2 linked regions of the Lepisosteus oculatus genome follow. The protein of the gene in region 2 purifies or fractionates together with the protein of the main gene of each other region. This does not show direct contact. Links are inferred from orthologs where the notes say so. Each region holds a gene or a part of one and is shown on either strand. Other genes may lie near its edges.

Region 1 (7,331 bases), on a different chromosome or scaffold from region 2:
GTTAAAGGTATGGCAGTATACGAGCCAGCTCCACCAGACTCCATGACAGCTTTTTTCCCGCAGGTTGTCAGGCTCCTCAACACCCTGGTACCTACTGCACCTACTCCAAATCTGGAAACCTAGTTCTCTTTGCCTAATGTCAGGCACACTGTCTGATGTATTCTTTACACAATTCTTTGCAAAATCCTGTAAAGTAAATTGCACTCTGCACATTGCACTTCATGTACCCTGTCAGAAATGTCTATGTCTACACTGTCTGTAGCACTGGCTTGTCAGTGTCTTGTAATTAATAATTGCTTACACATATATAGCGCTTTTCTGGACACTCCACTCAAAGCGCTTTACAGGTAATGGGGACTCCCCTCCACCACCACCAATGTGCAGCATCCACCTGGATGATGCTCAATACTCTCACCACACATCAGCTATCAGTGGGGAGGAGAGCAGAGTGATGAAGCTAATCCATAGATGGGGATTATTAGGAGGCCATGATTGGTAAGGGACAATAAGAAACTTGCCCAGGGTGCCAGGGTTACACCCCTACTCTTTTCTAGAAAAGCCCTGGACTTTTTAATGGCCACAGAGAGTCAGGATCTCAGTTTTATGTCTCATCCAAAGGACGGTGCCCTTTTGCAGTCTCGTGTCCCTGTCACTATACTGGGGCATTAGAACCCACACAGACTGCAGGGTGAGCGCCCCCTGCTGGCCCCACTGACACCTCTTCCAGCAGCAACCTTAGTTTTTCCCAGCAGGTCTCCCATCCAGGTACTGACCAGGCTCACACCTGCTGAGCTCCAGTGGGGTGTCAGCTGTGAGCTGCAGGGCTGCTGGCAACATTCAGTCAAGAAAAATGCACAAGGGGGTAAGACACACTAGAAAGGAAGTTTGGATAGTTTGTCTTTTTGAGTGAACCACATGATTTCAATTTGTCCCTCACATTCTCCAAATACATCAAATTATTTATAACACAAGTATACTCTTCACATTATTCCTTTGCGTAATTCTGTTAAAGGAATTCTATTTCCACCACGTACTGGAATGAACTATTGCCTCGTGTTAATGCTAGGTTAACAGCATTAACATGTAAATGTCTAACATCCATGTAAATGCACTCTACTTTGCATTGCACTCATTCATTTCTCATTATTTCTTACTATTAAAACTGCCTTTAATATTCGAGGCATAAAATATAATTTAACAACAATACTGTACAGAGATTTATAGTAACACAAATTAAAAAGAATGAAATTTACCAAAACTACAACAAAAAACATTTAGAAACTTGTATACAAAAGATACAACTTACAATTCATGTTAATAAAAAAAACTTTGCACAGCACATACTGGAATATTAAAATTTGCCTTCTAGTAACTGCAGTACAGGATGGCTGGGCCATAGCAGATAGTGAAGTTAACACTTACATGCGGGGATCAGAGGCTTCGAACCCAGCCCGGTTGAGATAGTATCCGGTCACTGCGTCGGGGATCTGCAGGTCAAAGACAGGCCATCAGCTACAGTCTGGCGAGGCCCAGGCGTGTGTCTCTGTGAGTGTGTGTGTGACTCTGTCTCTGTCTGCGTGTCTGTGTGTTGTAGCCTAAAGCCCCGAGCTGCCCCAGGTACCGTGGGAGTGTAGTCTTCCAGCTGCATGAGGAAGTCGGCCAGAGGCATGCTGGACAGGACAGGCTTGACGTCTCCGTTGGCAATGCCAGGCGGCACGTACACCCCGTTAGACACCAAGGTCTCCGAGGGAGGGGGGACCGAGGCAGACGACAGCGGAGCTACATCAAAACGCAACAAAATCAAGATTAACGGGTGAGCTGACATCATTTTGATCACTCTGCTATTTTACATCACATAAGTGTAAATGAGTATGATTCTCTGCTCCTGGTATCCTGGGAAGGATGTTTGTGTTGCACAGGGCTTTGGAGTACTGTGCATCCTGATTTTGCTTCCTCCTCTTTAATCATCTTGGAGAGGTCTTGCTTGAACATTGTTACAAAAGTATGAAGATGTCAAATTCACACAGGATTTGTCATACAGGATCAGCGACAGAGCTATAGTGATTAACCAGAAACAGGGGGTTTAAAACAAGCCTATATGAAATTGAGAAATTCGGGAAGTATGAAGGAACAGCAGTAAAAGACTCTTTATTCCGCCCCAGTGGTCTTCTTACCCTTTGTGGCAATTTAACCACAAACTACAACCCATTTGTACAGCGTACAAATACAGAGTATTTAACCTGGTTTATGAACTATACTGTACTACTGCGGCTCTAATTTATCCCACCGACTTTTTTCCCCAAGAATCTTTTTTATTATTGGAAAAACCTATGAAGAACCGTCCAGTTATACAACTGTTAAGTTTGTTTTTTGACAGGCAGGAAGAGCGCATTAGTCGCTCGTCTCCTCCTCACGGGTGTATAGACCGCATATGGAGTTCTGTATAAATGATTCGCCAGCTAGCCAAACGACAAACAGTTTAACAAAACGCCCAAAGCCTGACCCCAAGCACACGGATCCACGGCAGCGGGCTGGGGACCGGGCTAGAGATACCCCGTGAACTGCGGCGTGTCCCGCCGGGGCAGCACGAACGGAAGACGGGCTCACCGCTGGTGGGAGCCGCGGAGGCGACGCTGTTGGCGCTGCCGGCGGTGTTGCTGCTGGTTGCTACGCTGTTGCCGCTGCTGCTGTTGTTGTTGCTGCTGCTGATGCTGCTGATGCTGCTGCTGTTGTTGCTGTTGCTTGTCGTGGAAGAGTTTGACAACGCGCCTCCAGCCGCCACGGGCTGCGGGGTATCGACGTTCATCGTTGTCGAGTACCAAAAAAAAAAATCTTGAACGTTGAACAGCGAACGGATATAACAGTCTTCGAGAAGCAGAGATTTGACGTTTGAAATAAGCCCCCCCAAAAAAGATAATGCAATTTAACGCGACGATTCCCAAAACACACACACACAAACACAAAATCCACGCATGTAGCGTATGTCAGCAGCTGGACTTTTTCAGCAACATTCACCACTTCCCAAACAAGCCCAGCTTCCGTGTGCCGTTTGAGTCAAGTCCGGACTACAACTCGTGCCCACGCAATGCGTTCCGCCTCGCTAGCACCCGCTGTTCAAGGAGACGCCAGCTGCGGGTCCTGTCTGGAAAAGTGATTCTGGCAAGTGGCATGTCCTGGGAATTCCAATCTTGAACTACCTGGAAATGTTGCTGATCCTCGGCTGCTCCAGGGTGCTCTCCTAAGGACTGGTTGCAGAGATCTTGTGAGCCAGCAGCCATATCACCCAGCAGGCATGAGCCTGGATGGGAGACCTAATGCCCCAGCATAATGATGGCATAGTGACTATACTGTAAAAAGGCGCCGTCCTTCAGATGGGATGTAAAACTGAGGTCCTGACTCTATGAGATCATTAAAAATCCCAGGGTGTTTCTTTAAAAGAGTAGGGGTGTTACCCCGGTGTCCTGTCCAAATTTCCCATTGGCCCTTACCAATCATGGCCTCCTAATAATCCCCATCTCTGAACTGGCTTCATCACTCTGTTCTTCTCTCCACTGAGAGCTGGTGTGTGGGGAGCATTCTGGCGCACGTCACATCATTAAGGTGGGGGCTACACACTGGTGGTGACGGAGAGGATCCCCATTACCTGTAAAGTGCTTTGAGTGGAATATCCAGAAAAGAGCTATATAAGTGTAAGCAATTATTATTAATGTAATTAGTTACTGTTGGACTTTGATCGGTGTTCTTTATACACCCTGAAAATTAGCTTCAAAGAGTAATTAATAGCACTATGTAAGTGTAAGGAATCATTATCCCATTTCAGGAACTGTCCTTTTTTACTCTAAACTGTACAAATGGCAATGTCCTTTGGATGAGACATAAAACCGAGGTCCTGACTCTCTGTGGTCATTAAAAATCCCAGGGTGTTTCTCAAAAAGAGTAGGGGTGTAACCCCGTCGTCCAGACCAAATTTCCAATTGGCCCTTACCAGTCATGGCCTCCTAATCCCCATCTCTGAACTGGCTTCATCCCTCTGTTCTCCTCCCCCCTTGAGAGCTGATGTGTGGCGAGTGTTCTGGTGCATTGATCGTACAACAGCTCCTGGGCTTAATCGGCCTGCCCACCACAACTCTAGATCAGAAGTGCTTTCCTTTGATTACATCCCTGTGTTTTCTATCAGACGTGTATACACATGCAAAATGTTCCCCAGTCATAAAAACACACCATCAAGCATGTTCAAGTGTATTCCAAACCAAGTGCTGAACTCCTGTTCTTGATCTGTATTGACTCAACTTAATGTGAGAAGTGAAGGCAAGGTATCAGTGACTGATCGCTTGGAGGGCAGCATTGCTGCCTTGCAGTGCTGGGGCCCTGGGCTCAATTCCCAGAGTGCTATGTGCATGGAGTTTGTATGCTCTTCCAGAGTTTGTGCAAGTTCTCTCCAAAGATGTGCTGGTGGGTTAACTGGTTTCTGGGAAAATTGGCGAAAATTGGTGTGAGTGTGTCTTTGTAATTGTGTGTCTGCCCTGCGATGGACTTGTTCTGTCCAGACTGCCCTGTGCCCATTGCTTGCTGAGGTAGGCTCTATTTTTGAAAATGGATGAGTGGACTGTATGGCCGTTTTTTTTTCATTTAGGGTCTAAAACATGTCAGTGAAGTTTATAAGTGTCCGTTCTTAACAGCCATATTCCAACGCTATATCAAAATCATGCAAAATATTCAATATAAAACGTGCTTACTGAATTCTGTGGGCAAAATACCCATACCCCTTCCCCAAAAAAGGAAGAAAAATCACATTTCAAATTATAGTTGATTTTTATTTATTGCCACAAGAATAATTATACATTTTAGTAAGAAAATCAAAAATAAATTTGTATTAAGTAGCCATTTATTTTTAATATTGACTTTTAAAAAAAATAAGCCCACAAGATGTTCCACCATATAAAATATAAACTTTGACACAGCTGGTGCAAAACCACACGTGACAATGTAGACCACGACAGAGAAGAAAGGAATGTCTTTTAAAAGACAAAACACTGTAGAGGGAAATTGGGCCAAACAGCTGTCTACAGGGGTGCTTTCTTAAAGAGTATTCTTTCATCAACTAAGAGCTACAGGTTCAAGCAAGAGAAAAGAGCCTTTCTGTATCTCAAGGATGGACAGAGCTGTGGCAGAAAGGAGCCAGGAGACCTTCTGACACAACTCTGTACTAGTTTGGAACTTTGTCTTGACTGACAGGATAAATGAGCCGGACACAGCGAGCGTCTGCTACTGTTTCTGTAAGCTGCACCTGAGAGATGGCTTTCCGAAGATTAACACAGGGAAAATGAGGCAGGAATTTCATTGCATACTCTGGACATGGATTATAGAGCATTCCCCATTTTCCCTTTAGGGAAGACTCAAATATTCTGTCGTCTATTAGGCTTCTTAAGACTCCTATTCTAGGCAGACTGTAACTCTTACCCAATTTTTATCGGTCTCCTTACCCTTGCCCTGCTCTGTTTCCAAAGTTATTTTGTTTCCTGACATGTTAAAGCTTAACTAGGGGTGACCGGCCCTGGTACTGGAAAGATTCAATCCAGCAGGTTCGACTTTAAATCATCCATCTCTAAACACAGCTAGCTCATTTTGTTTTGATCAGCTAAGCAGCTGATTCGGTTCATCTACAGTAGCTGAAAGATTCACTGGAAATGAACATTTCAACTCAGCAGCTGGCAAGAACAATGTCTGGCTTAAATGAGGCAGTGCATTTACTACACTTCCCAGTATTCCACACATGTTCGAATCTCTAGAAATCGAGAGCTTAAAGCCTTGGTGGGTTGTTCCTCGTCCAGGATCAGGGCTGGTCACCCACGAACTCAACAGAACGGAGACCCCCTTCACTATTTGGCACCATTTTCCCCACAAATAACAGACCCAATAACTCAACAAGACGAGCACTCCTCAATGGAAATGAAGGTATGTAGGTGTTGCGTTAATTGTCTTTCAGCAGCGGCTGTGTCTCAGACTGAGCCTGGACCCCAGGTGCCTGGACTAATTGAACCAGCCCTAACAAGTTCACAAGATTACTATATTGTTCGTTTTTAGCTAAATTGGATTATTGAAGAGGCTGGTATTGAGGCCACTACGCACTTTGCTCCTCTCACATGGGTGAATGGGTCCGGCTCAATCCAAGATACAGCCTGTGTCCACAAGCTAGCTGCCCAGTCCTTGAATAGTTATGGAATCGTTTCAGTCAGGGAGCCAGTCCAGATTGCAAGATGCGGACCGTGCAATGCAAGATTTCATTAAGAACTCCGGGAGAAAAGAACAGCTTGTGGACAACTGCCCTTTGGAATACATTTCGGAATGTTTTGCGTTACATGGAATCTGTCACCATACAAAACTAAAACCCTTTTATTTTTAATGAAAAAATATTTCTTATATATTTACACCACAATTCAGGTCTGCTGAGCCACAGTGTGAAGCCAGATGGTTGGTTATCATTTTTAAACTGGTCTCAAAGCCACTCGTCCCAGCTCTATCCCATCATGGGCGGGAAGCACTAATGACTCCGACGGCTGTTAAACGATCCTCCAGTTTTCAAAAGGAATTAAAGGACCTAAAATGTTATAAAATAAATATTCTTTATTTCAGTCTACTTCTTAAAAAAACAACAGTTTAAAACAAGAATTTCTTTACGAGACCACAAAAAGGAAAAACCATTGCGATTGCAATCTCACTTCTTTCGTTCTGTCCAGGTCTTGTTCACTGTTTCCTACACACGACTGCCCTTCTACTGTAGGAAATCAGACCTTGATGGCAATGTCCAACTGTTTTGATCCCACTTTTGAACAGTCTTCAGACCCCTTGCACATTCTGGTTTTGCTAATTTGCTTGCAAATGCTCTGGTATCGTGGAACTCAGGGAGTACAGACTCCAGACTGGAACTGTGGTGATGTTCTTAATCACTCTTAAATCAGGATAACGACACACTAAAGAAAACCTCCCTTTAGTTGCTACCACACTATGACCTACTCATTAGCAACTATGCAGAATAAATAAATATATGTCAAACTAAACTGCACTTTTATTTCAAGAGGCAGAGCTTAATTAAGAGGAACATCACACAAGCCTGTAGGATTAACTAAGTACACTAAGTGGGAAACACACAGGTTAAGGACTTTTGAAACGGCAGCATCTGCTCTCTAGGCTGTAGAAAGATACTGTTGTTGCTCCTTTCATTATCACGGCCCATTTCTTACCGATGCACCCAAGACCTCAAACTACAGATCGGTCTCCTGCCCGGAAGTGGGATGAAAAAAGCATACAGAGATCCGACAGGGCTCGCAACG
Region 2 (7,052 bases):
CCCCCCCCCCCCCCAAAGGACTCAACAGGCCAAATGAATATCCCAGCTGCCTGAAACTGTACAAAGCAGTTTCTTTCCTAAAACAGAAATGACACTTTTTCTCTCCGTGCATTTATCTCTCAAGACAAAGCCAAATGAATCCAGCATGACTTTTGGATTGTAGGAGATAAATGTTAACAATAGCATGGGTCTCCCTCCCTTACACAAAAGGCGGTGCCTCGTTGTGACTTCAAAGTTATTACGGAGATCTTTTCCATACACGAGTGACGAAGAGCTGCAGTAAAACAGCACCCACATTGGTAAGTTCAGGGATTGTAGTTGAGCCCTGGGGCAAAGATCACAGGAGAGAAGCAAACGTTGTTCTTCAGTTACTCTGTTATTGCCATTTTGTTTTCTCGCATGCTCAGCTTTAAAAAGGCTTAAATAAACCGCAAACAGCTTTTGACTTCTTTCTTTCGCCAGTCCCAGCATTATCACGCTCCCGTAGAAAGAAACAAAAAATAACGTCCAGTAGTTTGGCCCATTCGGAACTTACAGAGGTCAGACACAGCACACAGAACACCTTGTGAAAAGTAAACCACACACAAATTGGCAATGAAGTGAAACGGGCAACGAAGTAAGACAGACTAAGAGGCGTCCCGCGATATCCATCCACTCTCGGTGAGGAAGTTCAGAATCCTCTTTTTGAGGACTTTGTCCAGGTAGCTAGGGAGACGGCTCTTGGAGGGGATCCCCTGGCGCTTCTGTAGGTGGTCCTTGATTATGATGGTCTTGGCCGTCAGGTAGCGTGTGGGGCTGAGGTTCAGAGAGTTGCAGAGGACCTTCTCCCGGTCGGAGAGCAGCTCGAAGCCGGACAAGTTCTCGATTGCGGCGAACTCGCTGTCCTTGCCCTCCTCTTTGCCCCCGCCACCACCACCGCCGCCGCCGCCCCCGCTCCCACCTCCTCCGCCCCCTCCCCGTTTGGACTGGGCCACGCTCTTGTTCTCCTTGCGCTTCTCCCGCTTGTGCCGCGCCGCCTCGTACTCCACCGACTCGTCCAGCCTGGTGATGCCGTTGCGCCGGTAGCGCTGCAGCTCCCGCACCTTGGCCCTCAGGACCCGCTCCTTGTGCATATTCTCAAAGAACTCCTCGAACTCCCGGCAGGCCATGAACTGGCAGAGGGGCCTCAGCTTGAGCCGCTGCTCCTTCTCCTCCTTGGTGATCTTGCGCTTGGGGGCTGGCGTCGCGGCCGAGGAGCCGGCCGCTGCTGGCGGAGCCGCCGCTGCCACCACCGCCGCCGCTGTCGCCGCCCCCCCGGCAGCCGGCTTCTCCTTGTCCTTCTCCTTCTTGTCCTTGCCCAGGAAGGCCGGCACCAGGTTGTAGTCGCGGGCGATGGTCTTGCGCCGCTGCCGCTCCCTCAGCTTGCGCACGTACATGTCCACGTGGGCCCGCTTCATCTCGATCTCCACGTCATCGTCATCATAGTTGACCGACAGCCCGCTGATCAGCGTCTCGGCGTCCTGGTCGTACTCGATCTCGTAGTCGTCGCGCAGGGGCATGTAGCCCAGCTGCTGCTGCTCGGCGACGGTGATGTCAAGGGGCGGCAGTGGGGTGGTGAGGCTGGGAGACAGCGGCCCCCCACTTGGACATGTGTGGTCCGTCACTCGGTTTGGGATGCTGTCCGGGATACAGGCCTTGCCAAGGTTACCGTGGATGTACATGGTCACGTAGTGCTCCATGACTTCCTGTGGCGTCCTTGAAGCTCCAACATGGGCTGCCATGTCCTCCTGGAACAATACAATTGCGTTAGTGGGGCAATGATACAAATCTTTACACAGGCAGCCATTGTTACAGAGAAACTACACACGTCTTAGTATTTGCTTAGCCAATGGCCTTATCTGGCATAACTCAAAACATACAAAAACTTTCCCTCAGTAAGTAACAATCATGCAGATAAATTACAGAACTAAAAATTAAGCTTAGCACAAACAGAACATGCTGTTTTATGCAAAATAGAACAGTAAGGTTTAAAATGATATACAGACATTGTGGATACCAACAGCACTGAAAACTCACTCTCTATCACCAGTGAACAATGTTCACTGGACTAGGGCAATGTTCACAACAAAGTCCTAGACATCCATGGAGAAAATCTATTCACAAGCTTTCTGTAGGCAAAAATACGTCGTTCCTGTAAACTGGAATAATTGCCTGTGGTTATATCTAATTGCATATATATGGCAGCAAACAAATTGCTAAATCGCACAAGCACGCAGGTGTCTGTTTATGGATATTCTAAGAAAAACTCTTAATAATGTATAGTGTAGTACGGGAAGAATTTATGTTTTTTTTACTTTCTTGATGGTGCAAAACACACATTCTTTACACAGTCATTTTTACTATAGCATTTAAAATCTCACGTATTTGCGATGCGATAGTTTTTTCCACTCGAAGCGTTCAAAATCCTAAAATGTTTAAACGCTCTTAATAATCACAGGTTTTTATTTTATATAAATCTTTAATTTGACGCGTTTTCTACATTCTCAGAAAACCGACAAAGTAATTTTTGATCTTACCTATAGTTTGGCCAGTCCTCCTGATTGAAACCGATTTCAAATTAACTTTTCACTCACTCACAAACGTGACATTTGCTGAAACAGAACAATACTGGAGTACTGCAATTTCAACTGTCACCATCAAAACGTAATCCTCTCTCTTCTTCTCCATCCCGTGGGAAAATAAAAGAAAACTTACCCAGTTTCCAAAGCCATATTGCTCGATCGCATCCAGTAGCGACTGCTCTTCCCTGCTGGTCCAGCCTCCTTCTGCTTCGGGACCCCAAAGAGTAAAGCGTCCCCCGTCTACTTGCTGATACCCATGCCATCGCCGATGATTGCCTATTTCGGCGCCTGCAGAGAAGCATTCTGGACAGAGTTCGATGTCTTGGCACTCGGTGCAACGAAGCCGCAGGTTCGTTACATCTGCTAGACAATTAACGCAGTACTTCTTGCCCAGGTCGGCCATGTTGCAGGCTGCTGCTGCTTGTTGTTGAAGCTGCACAGCCTCCAAGGCAGGCGCATGCGCACTGAGCAGCTACCGCTCTGCTCCCTGCGTCTCATTAATATAAATATCACGCGCATGCTGGTTGGGTCACGCCCCCGTTTCTGGGGCAACCGAAAGACACCGCATTAGGTTTATAAAATAGTTGGACAGGAAAGGTACAGTAGGTGTAATTTCTAGGTGATTCAGTTTTGGGTTCTTTTTTTTCTTTTTGGACCCAGTGTTTAGTTTGAGCTAACTTTACAGCTAACAATAGATTTACATTTATTTTACAGCGGGATAGGAACAAATAGTGACTTATTATTCTTATATTATTTCGTACTGCGATGGAGGCGTCACAGCCCCCCAAACTCGAAACTGTTGAGGAAACGACAGAGTACCTTCCTGAAGCGGAGAACACTAACGGTTTGTCCCAAACCGAAAAGCAAGAAGAGACATTCGAGGGAGAATCTAATGAAGCTGGAAATAACAATGACTGCACTGCTGAACTGCTAGCTGAAAAGGATGGTACCGAGGCTGGGACGGAACAAAAGGAAGAGTTGCCTGAAGTTAACAGTGACCTTCCCGGCACCAGACAGGGGCCAGCAGATGAGGTTTCAGGTGAGTCTCTAGGAGGACCTGCCGAAGCTGAAGCTGAAACCTTAGAAGAGTTAAAAGGAGATAGTGCTGCTGAAGATGCATCAACACCTGTAAAAGAGGAGGAGAAGCAAGTTGTGCCTTCTAGTGAAGTTTTAGCAGAGCAAGAGGAGGAAGAAGGGCAGCAGATCATAGGAGAGCTGCTGTCTCGAGAGGGCAGCCCAGTGGCCCAGCAGGAAAATGCTCCCCTAGAGCTGGAGCTGGAGGCGCCAGAAAGAGAGACAAGCCCAACAGAAGAAGAGGAGGAGGAGGAAGAGGAGGAAGAAGCCCTAAGCATAAACTATGAAGAATACATGGAAAGGTACAAAGAACTTAAGAAGGAAAAGGCGAATATTATCCAGCAGAGCGGTCAGCTACAGAACAAGTTAGTGGAGTACTTCCGCAGGAAGACAGGGGAGGAAATCCGTCATGAGAAAGAGAAGCCAGTCTCAGATCAGGAGCAGCGCTACCTCAAGTACATGTCTACAATGGAGGACCTGAAATGGCAGCACAGGCGGGACTCAGAGAGCTACCAGCAGCAGATCAAGGAGCTGAGAGCCCAGTCCCAGGAAAAAGTGAGCCAGGTGGACAGTGAGTGGAAGGTCTTCATGGGCTTCAAGAAGGAGGTGGCAGTGTCAGCCATGAGCCGGCGCCTAGGAAAGCAAGCCGCTGTCGCACAAGTGGAGCAGATCCAGGCCAATGAGCAGCGGAAAGAGAACGAGCTGGTCCAGGTGAGGCTAGAGAACATCAAGCTGAAGAATAAGGTCAGGAAATTTGAGGCTATGCTGAAGGCTAAGGAGGAGCTGGCTGAAGGGCTGCACCTCATCGACTTTGAGCAGTTGAAGATTGAGAACCAGACGTACAACGAGAAGATTGAGGAGCGCAACGAGGAGCTCCTGAAACTCCGGAAGAAGATTACCAGCACAGTCCAGGTCCTCACCCACGTCAAGGAGAAACTGCAGTTTGTCCAGGTGGAGAACCAGGCAAAGAAGGCTCAACTTACAGAGGTGGAAGCCCTGGTAGCTCGGAAGAGGGACATCCTCACCAAGACCAAACAGGCCCGTGATGCTCTCCGCACGGACAACCTGAAGCTCCGGCAGAAGTGTGGCCTTCTGGGAAATGAGACCTTGCTCCGGGACTTTGAAGAAAAGGTAGATGCCTCCGAAGCTCTGAGTCAGAGGCTTGAGATGCTGAGGCGCCGGCATGCTGAGCTGACACTGAGATGTGTAGGACTCAAGAGAAAACTAGAGCAAGCTAAGCTTTCACGCCAATGAAAAGCAGCAGATGCCAAAAATAACAAGACTCTGGACCCATTTCCTTTCATGGTCAATAACATAAAATAAATCAACCCAAAAAATAACTAAAATAAATGGTGTCAGCTGGTATTTTCAGATATTTCTTATATAGTTGGCTATTTATGTATGAAAGGGAGATATGATTTCTCTAAGATAAGTCAAATCTACAGTTTAGTAGTTGTGTACCTGACATTCACATTAGTCTCCTCATCATGAAAAAATTAAATTGATGATTTATATCAATTACTATCATACAAAATGTGAACAGATTGCCTTCCAGTTGAGATAAACACAGTTGAGATAAAGCAGAACTCTTTTTAAATTAAATTATTTCAGGGTGAACCTCAAATATTTTTAAATAAATTTTACTCATATTCATTTTATATTTATTGTTGTCCGGGTCACTTGTGTGTAGATTCATATTGTGTATAATCAGTTGTCAACCTATTGCTTAAATGGCAATCATCTAAAAGTCTTATTGACTAAATATTTTATCCAGCTCTCTTCCACTGTATTATCTCATGCTTTGGGTTGAGTGGAATTTTAAAAATCATTGGCCTGGGGTATCCAGCTCCTGTCCTCCACTTCCAAAGTGCAATTGTTTGTTGTATCACATTAAATCATTTCTTAGATGTGGGGACACAGTTCAATTGGCCAAATAATGCAATAGCTCTCTTAATCTAATTTGAGCAAAGATACAGTTGTTTTTAATTGAAAATAACTTTATGGGTGACATATTATTATTCAGCATACAGGAGCATGACGTCTCCTTGTCCATTGGGGTGGACACCGAAAAAATAATGTCATTCTCAGGATGTGCATATTTCAGTATAGAGTATTTTGACCTTACTGCAACTTTTGCTTTCCTGTATTTAATCTCATTCCATTGGAAGCACTATTTGATTTATGTTAACTTGAATCTTTTTGCTGACCTTAAGTGTCCTGTGTGTGTTTCTTCATTCAAATCCTCCTACTGTTCTATTGCTTTTTAGGATCTAGGAAACTATTCTTATAACCAAACTGTCTGCCATTTCTATACATTATTTTTTAATGGAATCTTGTTCAGCTTTTTCTAACAGAATAAGTGTTGATTCTGACTTGTTAGTGGTAAAATGCTTTATTTTTTTAACAAGCATTAAAGAGAAATTATTAATAAAGGGTAACAGAGCACTTACATTATAATTTTCTTTCAAATTTACCTATCAAGGCAAAGAAAGACAATAACATAAAACAGAATGTAAAAGGAGTAGTTTCTACCATTTATCTAACTCTATTGTTTCAGCTTTTTGTATTGCATTCCCTTTTGTAAGTTTTGTGTGATTTTGTTTAATACTTCATCCTCATGTTATTTGCAATTATATCTAACTATTGTAAATATGATTGAAAAACAATAAGAACCTGACAGACCTGAAATAAAAAGTACAATTGGGAATATGCAGTTTTTGCTCATGGGATTTTCATAATTACCCCCCTTTTCACTCTTTTCTTTACACTTTCTGGCAACTAGTTTTCAGAAGTCTTTTCAGAGAATTCTCGTATGTAAAAGTTTTCTTTTTAGATCAGTAAATAAATCAAATTCTAAACTGAAATTATACCAATGAATTCTACAAACCACATAGCAGGAAAGTCAAATCAAATGAAACAGAAAATCAAGGTGATAAAGACTAGTCCTTTAAATACACTACATTATGTGGATAAGTTCTGGCACAGGGCTTGGTTGCTAGACTCATCTGTAGTTGACTGCAGCAACACACTCACTGCTGGTCCTAGTTTGATTTAATCATCTCACTAAGTCACAGGGGATTTTACCTTTAGTGCTAAGCAAGCCAAAGGAGAAAAGGCTGTGCCTTTCCCCAGGGGATCGAGGCCAACACCAGTGATATGGGCTACAAAGGAGAAACATTATAGAGGAGCTGGAAGAAAAAAGTCAAACTTCTCAGTCAGCAGTTTATTTTCAAATAGGCTACCCTGGTGAGCAAACAGCTGTATTACGTGTTCTTTCTGCACTCTGCAAAGATAGTATTTTTGGTATAGCATGAGAAACAAAAGTAGACTTACATTCAAAATATAAGGTTGTCATAACAATGCTGTAAACGTGTTTAA

What was found. Proteins that work in one complex are often made in the same cells at the same time.
Region 1: the proteins of tada2b (region 2) and taf10 purify together in Homo sapiens (affinity purification with mass spectrometry; 4 studies listed by BioGRID and IntAct, counting the BioPlex papers as one, with this or other methods). This does not show direct contact. The link is inferred for Lepisosteus oculatus from reciprocal best matches to the Homo sapiens genes TADA2B and TAF10.

What each region holds. Positions count from the first base shown.
Region 1 is NC_090720.1:9,870,475-9,877,805, forward strand, and holds the start of taf10 (transcription initiation factor TFIID subunit 10), read right to left. Parts: upstream 3,067-7,331; 5' UTR 2,807-3,066; coding exon 2,608-2,806; intron 1,780-2,607; coding exon 1,622-1,779; intron 1,488-1,621; coding exon 1,423-1,487; intron 1-1,422. UniProt on the Homo sapiens protein: The TFIID basal transcription factor complex plays a major role in the initiation of RNA polymerase II (Pol II)-dependent transcription.
Region 2 is NC_090696.1:42,383,400-42,390,451, forward strand, and holds the start of tada2b (transcriptional adapter 2-beta), read right to left. Parts: upstream 3,059-7,052; 5' UTR 3,004-3,058; coding exon 2,734-3,003; intron 1,767-2,733; coding exon 627-1,766; 3' UTR 1-626. Other genes in the region: cfap184 (cilia- and flagella-associated protein 184), read left to right, coding at 3,366-4,928. UniProt on the Homo sapiens protein: Coactivates PAX5-dependent transcription together with either SMARCA4 or GCN5L2.